2 linked regions of the Caenorhabditis elegans genome follow. The protein of the gene in region 2 interacts with the protein of the main gene of each other region in a pairwise test. Each region holds a gene or a part of one and is shown on either strand. Other genes may lie near its edges.

What was found.
Region 1: the proteins of F41D3.9 (region 2) and mpz-4 interact in a two-hybrid assay, tested with the Caenorhabditis elegans proteins (one large-scale study listed by BioGRID).

Annotation. Positions count from the first base shown.
Region 1 is NC_003282.8:4,824,221-4,829,480, forward strand, and holds mpz-4 (PDZ domain-containing protein), read right to left. Parts: upstream 3,101-5,260; 5' UTR 3,046-3,100; coding exon 2,944-3,045; intron 2,646-2,943; coding exon 2,535-2,645; intron 2,487-2,534; coding exon 2,269-2,486; intron 2,222-2,268; coding exon 2,073-2,221; intron 2,018-2,072; coding exon 1,707-2,017; intron 1,662-1,706; coding exon 1,486-1,661; intron 1,442-1,485; coding exon 1,300-1,441; 3' UTR 1,268-1,299; downstream 1-1,267. Other genes in the region: tat-2 (Phospholipid-transporting ATPase), read right to left, coding at 3,856-3,891, 4,307-4,424, 4,531-4,628, 5,150-5,260.
Region 2 is NC_003279.8:12,271,766-12,277,185, reverse strand, and holds F41D3.9 (DUF1647 domain-containing protein), read left to right. Parts: upstream 1-1,997; 5' UTR 1,998-2,047; coding exon of another isoform or gene 2,048-2,187; intron 2,188-2,219; 5' UTR 2,220-2,412; intron 2,413-2,459; 5' UTR 2,460-2,558; coding exon 2,559-2,639; intron 2,640-2,689; coding exon 2,690-2,831; intron 2,832-3,349; coding exon 3,350-4,052; intron 4,053-4,099; coding exon 4,100-4,205; 3' UTR 4,206-4,237; downstream 4,238-5,420. Other genes in the region: F41D3.11 (Nucleotide-diphospho-sugar transferase domain-containing protein), read left to right, coding at 8-293; oac-25 (Acyl_transf_3 domain-containing protein), read left to right, coding at 4,996-5,120, 5,174-5,420.

The sequences.
Region 1 (5,260 bases), on a different chromosome or scaffold from region 2:
ATATTAAAAATATATAAAAGCTCATTTTTTCAAAAATTCAAAAGTATGGGAAAATCATATGGAGTCATTCTTTTTTATTTCATAAAACTATTCAGCATAGTCAAAAATACCAGAATCTGTCAATCAAAGTATAATAGCTTGTACGGAAGTATTTTTTTAAAAATTGATAAAAATATATAAAAGCTGATTTTTTCAAAAATTCAAAAGTCCTGAAAAATCATATGGAGTCATTCTTTTTTATTTCATAAAACTATTCAGCATAGTCAAAAATACCAGAATCTGTCAATCAAAGTATAATAGCTTGTACGGAAGTATTTTTTTAAAAATTGATAAAAATATATAAAAGCTCATTTTTTCAAAAATTCAAAAGTATGGGAAAATCATATGGAGTCATTCTTTTTTATTACATAAAACTGCTCAGCATAGTCAAAAACACCAGAATCTGTCAATCAAAGTATAATAGCTTGTACGGAAGTATTTTTTTAAAAATTGATAAAAATATATAAAAGCTGATTTTTTCAAAAATTCAAAAGTCCTGTAAAATCATATGGAGTCATTCTTTTTTATTTCATAAAACTATTCAGCATAGTCAAAAATACCAGAATCTGTCAATCAAAGTATAATAGCTTGTACGGAAGTATTTTTTTAAAAATTGATAAAAATATATAAAAGCTGATTTTTTCAAAAATTCAAAAGTCCTGTAAAATCATATGGAGTCATTCTTTTTTATTTCATAAAACTATTCAGCATAGTCAAAAACACCAGAATCTGTCAATCAAAGTATAATAGCTTGTACGGAAGTATTTTTTTAAAAATTGATAAAAATATATAAAAGCTGATTTTTTCAAAAATTCAAAAGTCCTGTAAAATCATATGGAGTCATTCTTTTTTATTTCATAAAACTCTTAAGCATAGTCAAAAATAGCAGCAAATGCCGAACAGAGTATAATAGCTTGTACGGGTGTTTTTTTTTAATTGATAAAAATATATAAAAGCTGATTTTCAAAAAAATTTTTCGGAAATTTGAAATGATTGAATAAAACAATCTAGCTGAAATTAATGTTTAACTAAAGTATTTTCCAAAAAATGTTAAATTGTTCCATCACCGATGTTAGATTTTCCAATAATTAAAAAAAAAATTTTTAGGTGCGACCCATCATTGGCTTTTTAGCGGGCCTTCACGTACATTTGGTTAATGTCTCGCTTTTAGCGCTTTACCTGTGCTGTCTAACACACAGAAGGTCGGTGGTTCGAGCCCGCCCGAGATCAGTCAAATGTTTTATTAAAGAAGAATGAAGTTCATTTTTTAACCGGCATGTTCGAAGATGCCGATTCGGTCACCTTGGTCTTCAGCGGCGGGAGCCAAACGAAAAGCTTCGAGTTCCATTCCGCCGGAATAAAAAATTCTTCAGTTGTGTTGTTGAATCCAACAGCCGGGTCCCTGAATTAGTTGAAGATTTTATCTTAATTTATTTAAAAACATACTTTTTGGTAACTTTCGCATCACTCTTCTTCTTCCCAACTTCTCCCGGCCCTTCTTCCTCTTTTAAAATGGGAGCCAACGCTTTTCCATTTTTCAGAGCTTCAATTCCTTCTACAAAGTATTTACGGACATCTCCACAAAGCAAGTATTGCGGTCGTTCGGCAGTTCTCATAACATTCTGCAATTAAAATAGAAGAAAAAAAATGTGAGGCAAATAACCAACTGCAAGCTGTCCCCGAACCATATTTTTGATTGGATCCGTATTCGGATACTCAACCAACAATCGAATCCATCCATTCGCCTCAAATCCTTCGCGAAATCGTTGACGATTATCTGCCAGAGTGTTGATTGGTTTATCATCAACAGCAATAATAGCTTCACCAATATTCAAACTACAATGTGAAACTGAATCCGGAATAGTGTAGTTGACCACCACTTTTCTGTCGACCTGCTGCACGTTCAGACCAAGCTGCAGGTATTTGAATTGGTAGAGAATGGCCAAATCGATGGTGTGATCCTGTGTGGCTAAGATACCTGAAATTATATGAAAATTACTGTTTCACAATAAGAAACAAATATTCAAACTTACCATTTGGAATCTTAGACGTAGACATTCTGTTCTTCAATCTAGCGACCAGAACCGTAATCTTTGTCTCAGATTTTGAGTTCAAAATCTTTCCGACAACAACCTTGAAGTCTGGATAAAGTGAATGTGGTGCTCTCACAGGTTCAGTTTTCCTTAATAAGGTAAATATTTTTCAAGTTTTCATAACATTTGTCCTTACGGTGTAGTCGTTGGCTTCCTCTTAACAGTCTTCACATTTGACTGGAGACTTGCTCCACCGGTGGTCTCGTCGACATGCTCTGTCAATTGTTTCTCATCGAATGAGACAGTCGTACCGTTCACTTGCAAGATGATGTCACCCGGTAGAATTGCTCCTTTGAATGGGCTCGCGTAATGAACACGAGTGACCAACCCATGTCGATTGACGAGTCCGAGTTGCTGGAAATCAAAAACGTTTTACATAAAGTCATTGATGATGTCGCTTACCGTTATTTTATCCTTCTTTGGGAGCTCAAATGTGGCCTCTACAAGCATTTTGTAGCTGTTTGGAACTGGTTCTCCACGCAGAATGACCACATCTTTGACTCGAGCTTCTATCTGAAATACGTGTTTCTAGAATAGAAATAACTTTTAAAATAAAATTATGTTTCACTACTAGTGTACCATTAAAAAAACCATTAAACCATTAAAAAAAAGAAAGTTTGATTCTATAATAAAATATTCTTTCGAACACCCCCGACTGCCTCAATTACTTAGTTCAAGAAATATTGTTCACAATGAAGAAAAATAAATTAATTATTAAAAAAATCTTGAATAAAGTTCAAAAATTATTATTCAAATTTCTCACTGTTTCGATTCCAAATCCAACTTCCAAATTCCAAAAAACCCCTCTCACCTCTCCCTTCTTGAATCCGGGCCGCTCCCAAACCGTGTCTATTCCCTCTGCACCTTCCGGATAGATTTTATATTTGACTGCAGGTGGAATTTCTTGTGGCATCTTTTCAAGCTATCAAATGCTTTGAATTGAATTTGTTTGATACTTGAATTATCGATTGTTGTGAAATAAATTAGAATCGAGAAGAACAATGATAAGAGGGGGTGGGGGGGAGGGAATAAAAAATTAGAGCAATTGATCGAACGTGAAGATAAAATATCAAAGGTCAGAATTATTAAATCTTTTTCAACGTGATTTTCTAACTTTTTTTTAGAACTGAACTTATTGAGAATGTTTTCGGCATAAAACTGCAAAATCGCGTGATTCAAAATCAATCATTTATGTTTTATGTTTTTTCTTGGGACACGATTCGTATGGAATCGTATTAAAATAAATAAATAAATAAATCGTTGAAACGTGTGAGTTTGAAAATTACTTACCAACGAAGCAAATTAAATTGTGAAATCCAAACTTTTTCACCAATTTCGAGAAACTATAGAATTTTTTAAAAACTGTTACTTTGTGTTACCTTTGTTAAAAAAAAGTAATAATAATGTCTTGAAACTGCATTTTTTTTTGAAATTTTTTTCTGCCACTGCTTGTTTAATTAAATTTTTATAGACACTGATATATTAATCAACAACAAGAATATGAACAATTATTTATTGAATATTTCAAAAATTACACGATTGGAATACATCATAAATTACCCATTTTGATATCAATCACATTATCAGCGATCACCAATTATATAATTACAGCAAATTGAAGAAAAAGAGCAAACAAAACCCAATTGAGAGCCTAAAACCGGTGCCTACAAGACGGGGAAGAATGTTTGAAAGAAAATCGGAAAATAAATGCAAAAAATGAATTTTAAAGGCGAGTGATTACGTCTGGTTGTTCTTCGACCTGTTGGAAAAATAAAATATTATATTTAGAAAAAATGTATCAAAAGTAAATTTATTGCAAAAAAAATGAATTAAAGTTGAAAACTAACAGAAAAAGGGTCAAAGCACAAAGGGTTCAAATGAAAGCACACACTGCACTGCACGAGATCAAAAAGTAGGTCAAAAGTGAATAAATTACAGTATTCCATAGGAGTACTGTATGTTGAATAGTTGTAATCTCAAAATGCATAAAAATTAATATTTAAAAAGAAAAAAATTAAGTTCTAACTATAATAAATAAGTAACACACAAACACAAGTACACACAAAATTAGATAATTTGAGCAAATTGAAACAAATAAGAATTCATTATGAAAATTATTTACAAACGCCAGATTTGGATAAAAAGCGGCAGAACCGGATGGAGCACAATTATACCTGAGTTTCCCGCGAATACACGTGGTTTCTATGGCTCCGTCCATCGCCACGGATTACTGTACCCTGCAGTGGTGATGGTTCCTTTGCATAGGCTGGACGGAAATCCGATGATTGAGACCTGTGAATAAATGGCACACAATAGAGTTACAATAGAAGTACGGTAAGTATATCAGAAGTGAAGCAACGTGCTTTAGAAGTGTGTAAAATTTTATGTGAAAACTTACCAGTCATCAGTATTTACATTCAATGTATGGGGTACATTCTGTGGACGTGTACCCATTGGAAGGTGCATTGCATTAATACTTGAAGCTCCTTGGCTGTCCTGAAATATATTATATTAGAAGGGCAAATGGATAATTTTTTGTAAAAACAAAACTGAAAAGTTAGCCCATAAGTATGTTACCCTTGAGATTTTAAAAATTACTGCTTCAAAGTTTTACTGCCTTCAAACAAAGTGAAAAAAAGTTTTGTTCGAAAAATTTAATGGAATGTTTCAACAACATTATAAATTAATAAATATGATTACTGTACAATTAGTAGTGGGACGTGAACTTATTTTGAGTTTGGTTATTCATGGCTAAAAGCATGAAAAATGTCTCGGATAATGCTAACATTTGAAAACAATTAAATTCTAAATGGAAATTTGTCTGTAACTGCACAAAGTTGCAAAAAGTTGAAAAAAAGTTATTTGAAATTTTCCGAAATTATTGTTTCAAAGATTTTTTAAAAATTGCTGATTATCTTTTATTCACTGGGAGTAGTAATTTCATTTTCTGTCTAGGTTTAAATTATCTAGGTTTCCGATTCTCATGCCAAAAAATTTTAAATTCACATTGAACTTACATCAGGCACACTAGAAATAAGCATCGGCTGCAAGTCATCAGAAGTCGGGTGAATTTTCGCATTCGAATTATTCTTTCCCCGTAGATTTTCCACATTTTTGAACAATTTTCC
Region 2 (5,420 bases):
TTTACAGTGCTTATCAAATGATTCGAAATCAATGGTACAACCCTATGAACGGCACAATTATCCTCGCCAAATGCAATCCCGAGAACACAACTTGGAATATGGACTCAAGATTTATGGGTGAAAAAGAGGTCATTCTAGCCAGCCTTCGTGCATTCGAACGAGATGTTGCTCGGGAACAAGTGAGATCTGGCTCTAGGATAGATATGCTAATTTCACAGCCCGATAAACCGAAAAGGGAATCTCCGAACACTAGGGATGCGGATGGACGGCTGAAGAAGTACTTTTTCTGGTAGAACTTTTGTTGTGTTTAATAAATTATTTGGTTTCTATTTTCCTAGATGCACTTTTTTAAGTTCCAGATCTAATTGAAAAAAGGCAGTTTCCCCTATATTTCGCTGACTATGAGTATGGCCTCGAGCTGGCAACTGAGTAGCGTACGTCAGGGGATCTCCTCAACCGTGGTTTTTGGCCTAACAGGTCTTAGGCCTAATACTTGTAATCGTCTATTTTGCAAGAACTCAGGATAGTTTGAAAGGCTATGGCCTATGCTCGGCCTTAGTTTCAATATCATAGTAAAAACACTTTGATAGTATTTTCAAATACCTTTATTGAGTCGTACTGAGCCGGACGACAAGAGTATTGCTTTCGTCCGGCCAGCAAGTCAGGTCTTTCTCGACTGAAGAATCTTCTACTCGTGAGGGTGTGCCGCCATATGCTCTCTTGCCTCGTGTCTCTCGTCGTCACGCGCCCATAGACGCGCGACGGCAAGACCACATGACACTAGAATGAGAAGAGATCAAGGACCACTTCCACAATAGTTTATAATAGAAAAAGATACAGATGTAACCAAGCATGAAGTTTTACGAGATTACATGGTAGTATAATTTTCTATGAAAAAGTACAGTAGTTCGGTTTATCAATTTTTTTTAGATTCATTCATTTTTAAAGATGGAGTACTAAAAAAACTACCGACTTTTGTAGTGAGATGTTCTGAAAATTTCGCAAAAAAAAAGTTAGGTTGGTTCAAAATTTTGGGAAAAAAAGTGTTTAAAAGATCCAAAATTTTGACCATCATAGCATTTTGGAAAGAAATTTTCAGAACGTCCCATTTTTGGTATTTTTTGGCCAATTTGGTATCTCCACCTTTGAAGCAGCAGCCGACATCTAACGGGTCCCTCATATTAAATTTAACAGTCTGAAAAATTCGACTAACAACTGAATATTATAGCTACAGTATCATATGGTCTACTGTAACCATTCGGTAGTAGTGTAGAGTTACTTGTAGTTTTGTGCCCAGTTGATAGCAATAAAAGTATCGAATGGGTCTCGCCACGCAGATAGCGAGTTGTTAGTAACTCAGGGTGGCGAGACCTAGATATGAAATTGTTAGATGTAAAGTTATATGATTTCTCAGTGATCACCGACTTTCCGATACATTCTTCACCTCTGGTGTGCTTCTGCAAAACTTGAAATAACATTTTATGAGCCCCCGAGAAAAAACTCACAACAACGTTGATAAAAACACGGTAAGGCTCAGGAATAATCCATAGGCTTTTCTCAAAGTTCAATAAACTCAATTCAGGAGAATCCAGATCCTTCTGTTTGAACGGATGGCTATCGGAGAGAGGGGAGAGTGTGGAAGCTTGATGTAGATAATCATCTGCAAAAAAAAAGGAAGCTTGGAGGTGTGAATCAAAGCTTGGCCAAAACGGGCCACAAATCAATTCGGACTGAAATACTTAATATTCACCAAGGGTAGTGTAGTTGGTGCTACGGATTTGCGATCTACCGGGGTCAATATAAAAAGCACTATAGCTTTGAAGAACCCTACTTGGTCATCCTTTAATTTTTGAGCCATCGATATGCTCTACAACGCGCATTAGCTCAGTAAATTCAGTAAGTCAGTAAAAAAATGAGAAATTGCCAGATCCTAGCAAAAACGCTGTTGAAAGAAGTATTGTCAGGTGTGAAACAGAAAAATGCATATGAGCACAGTCCTGGAATACTTCAGGTAACAACTTTCTAAGATTCGGGGAACACTTCTTACCTAGAATGGCATAATACGCAAGCTGAAGCTTGGAAGAAAGCCTTGTCGCAATAAGAAATATAAACGGAACAAGACAACAAAACTGAGCCTCCACGGACAACGACCAGGTATGAGTGAAAATGTCGATAGCTTTGGCTAGCTGAAGTACTTAATTTTATCAAAAATTTCTCAGATTCACCAAGGGTAGTGTAGTTGGTGCTACGGATTTGCGATCTACCGGGGTCAATATAAAAAGGACTATAGCTTTGAAGAATCCTACTTGGTCATCCTTTAATTTTTGAGCCATCGATATGCTCTACAACGCGCATTAGCTCAGTAAATTGCAATCTGTCAAAGCTTAAGTAAACTGTCCGAATTGATTTGTGGTCCGTTTTGACCAAACTCTGTACACCGCCAAGTTTCCATTTTGCAGATGATTATCTACATAAAGCTTCCACACTCTCCCCTCTCTCCGATAGCCATCCGTTCAAACCGAAGGATCTGGATTCTCCTGTATTGAGTTTCTTGAACTATGAGAAAGGCACGTCGATTATTCCTGAGCTTTGTCGTAATTTGGTCATTTTGCTACTTTTTTATCAATGTTCCAGCTGATGTGAGTTGATTTTCCAGAGGGCTGAGAAAATGTTATTTCAAGTTTTGCAGAAGCACCCCAAACAGGAAGTATGCGTCTGTAAATCGGCGATCACTGGAAAATCATATAACTTTTGCTATAGAGACCCACAGAATCTGAATTCGATCGGGAAAAAGTTCAATTGCAGTCTGCTGAGTACTCTGGAAGATCTTGGTGAGCATGGGGCCATTTATCATATTTTTTACCATAAACTTTTGGAAGCCTGAAAAAGCCTAAAAAGGCTTGAAATTTACTGAGCTAGACATGCAAATCCTGGTTGTTATATTCAAATTTCTAAGGAGCTCTATACCTACCTTTCTAGATTTTTCAGGCTTTTTTAGGCCCGTTCAGGCCGTTCTCAGGCTCATGCAGGCCTATAGGTTTGTGTGTACTTATTCAAAAGATCTGAACGCATGGATTTCAAATTTCAACACGAAATAAGGAGATAATCAAAATTGAAACAAAATTGGGAAGTAGCTTGTAAATCCCGCTGCATTAAGAGATCAAACAATACATAGAAAAAGTCTTCGTGAACTTCGATTGACGTCTCATTTTTAGCGGAGATGGTTATCGACTAGGTATAGTTCTTGGTATAAGACACCCTAAATTTGAAAAAAAAACTCACGGAAAACTAGTGATGATTTTGAAGACGGATTGTCCTTTAATCCCTCCAATCCAGTACTATTTTTCAGGTATCATCTCTGATCATTCTCGCCTATCAAATGTCACGGATGTCCTCCGAAATCAGAGTAACGTAGTCTTTGCATCCTCCACTTCCGATGATCACATGCACCTCAGCCTGAAATCTTACAAATCAGTTCGAAGATTCCATCCACGCCACAAATACATCCTCTATGGCCTAAACATGAGTGAAGCCTTCATCGAGAAACTTCCGCAAAGAGATAAACATTTCGAGTTCCGAGTCTTCAACACTTCTCAGTACCCGAGCTTTGTGAACAACTGGCTCACCTACAACTTCAAGCCACTGCTCATGGCGCAGATGCTCAAGGAGTACAAAGCCGTATGGTGGATCGATGCGCATATTGAATTACTTAAGTCGAATATTTCGAGGAATCTACAAAAGGAGATAATTCTCAAGAGAAATAGTTCTTACTTCGCCTCCGTCGTATCCTTATCTGATACTAGTCATAGCAATTTTGCAGTTCTAAATCCAGCAGTCCTTACCTACTTTCCAACAAGCTCCATGAGGCTTCTTCAGCGCCAGAGACATGTCGCCGCCGGATTGATCTTCCTCCCAAGGACCAGATATACCATGCAATTATTTAAATGGTGGATCCTGTGCGCTCTTACAGAGGAGTGCATGAACCCGCCAGGATCTCGGCTGCGGTGTGTGTTCCGGCGGGATCGGTACAAGCATCCGGGGCATTGCTTCAGGTAAAGAATTTAAACCATCTTCTCTTTCAACTTTCTAGTAGTTTCAGATTTGACCAATCTGTTCTGAACCTTCTTCTGCTCAACGATTTCCAAGACTACCGGAGGTACTACTCGAAAAAGTTATCGGAATCGTTTTTGAGAATGGTTGATTGATTGTTTTTGATAATAAAGTTGAAGTGTTTATTTTCAGTGTTATCATTGGTTCACGGAAAGTAAGAGAGAAACAATTAAATTGTGCAAAAAAGTCATGATAAAGGCGGGACCTATTATCGATTTTTCTTGTGATTAGGTTCAACTCAATGAAAAAGGGGTACTTCCTCACAGGATTTACATTTTTTCGTGCCGACGAGCAGGTACTCCGACTTGCGGAAAAAGTTGTGTCCTCGCTTTAAATGCGTATAATTCCTTGAGTGGCAGGCGCGGTTCCGGGGCCTGGAGCCTGCCTCAAGCTAGTCTACCTCTTCGCCTCACTTGTGCATTCAAGCGTGAAATGAAAGGTTCGGTGTTTACACAACATAATGAGGAAGATAGTTCTTTTGCAGCGACTGACACTTTCCGGGTTCAATGCCGCACTACACAGAAGGTACTGCTCGGGGCGCAAGGCAGGCGCGGCAGGCTTTTCGGCACCTACATGGAATCCCTACTTGGAATAGCTTGTACCTTCTACATCATACTACGCAAAAGACACGGCTCGTGGCGTGAGGCAGGTGGCGATCGCCGCAAGGCAGGACCGACAAAGCATAAAACTGAAACTCTCCCATGGATCCGAATCGTTTCGTTGCCTCGTAGCTGATTTATATCTACAGATTCTCCTATTTTATTCAGTTAGAAAAAAAACCGTTTAAGATAGAAACTCGGATTCCGGGCTTTATCCCGACTCCTCATCGCCACACCATTTGGTCTTTAGAGGCTTGCTATTCACCTAAGCTGTTCACGGCTATTCATGTCGGAAGCATCTAAACCAAAGCGATTGGATTTGCAAGGGCTCCGAGGTCTTGCCATCTTGGCAGTACTCGGTTTTCATTTCTATCCTGCACAGTTTCCCAATGGATATCTTGGAGTTGATCAGTATGTGCACTTTTCTTTTTTATTTTGTTTATTTCCACTTTGAAATTTTACAGATTCTTTGTCCTATCCGGCTTCCTTATGTGCATGCTACTGAAGCGAGCTGAAAGTGATTCAACTTGTACTCTAATCACCTTGTTCTACTCGAAAAGGTTCAAGAGAATCCTTCCGCTTTACCTACTCATCATCCTGCTCTCCATGATCTCCCTCTACACAATCTTCCCAGACACCTCTATAGAAACCAACCAAAAATCTGCCACCCGTGCGATGCTCTTTGTGTCAAATGCTCCAACTTCAGCGCAA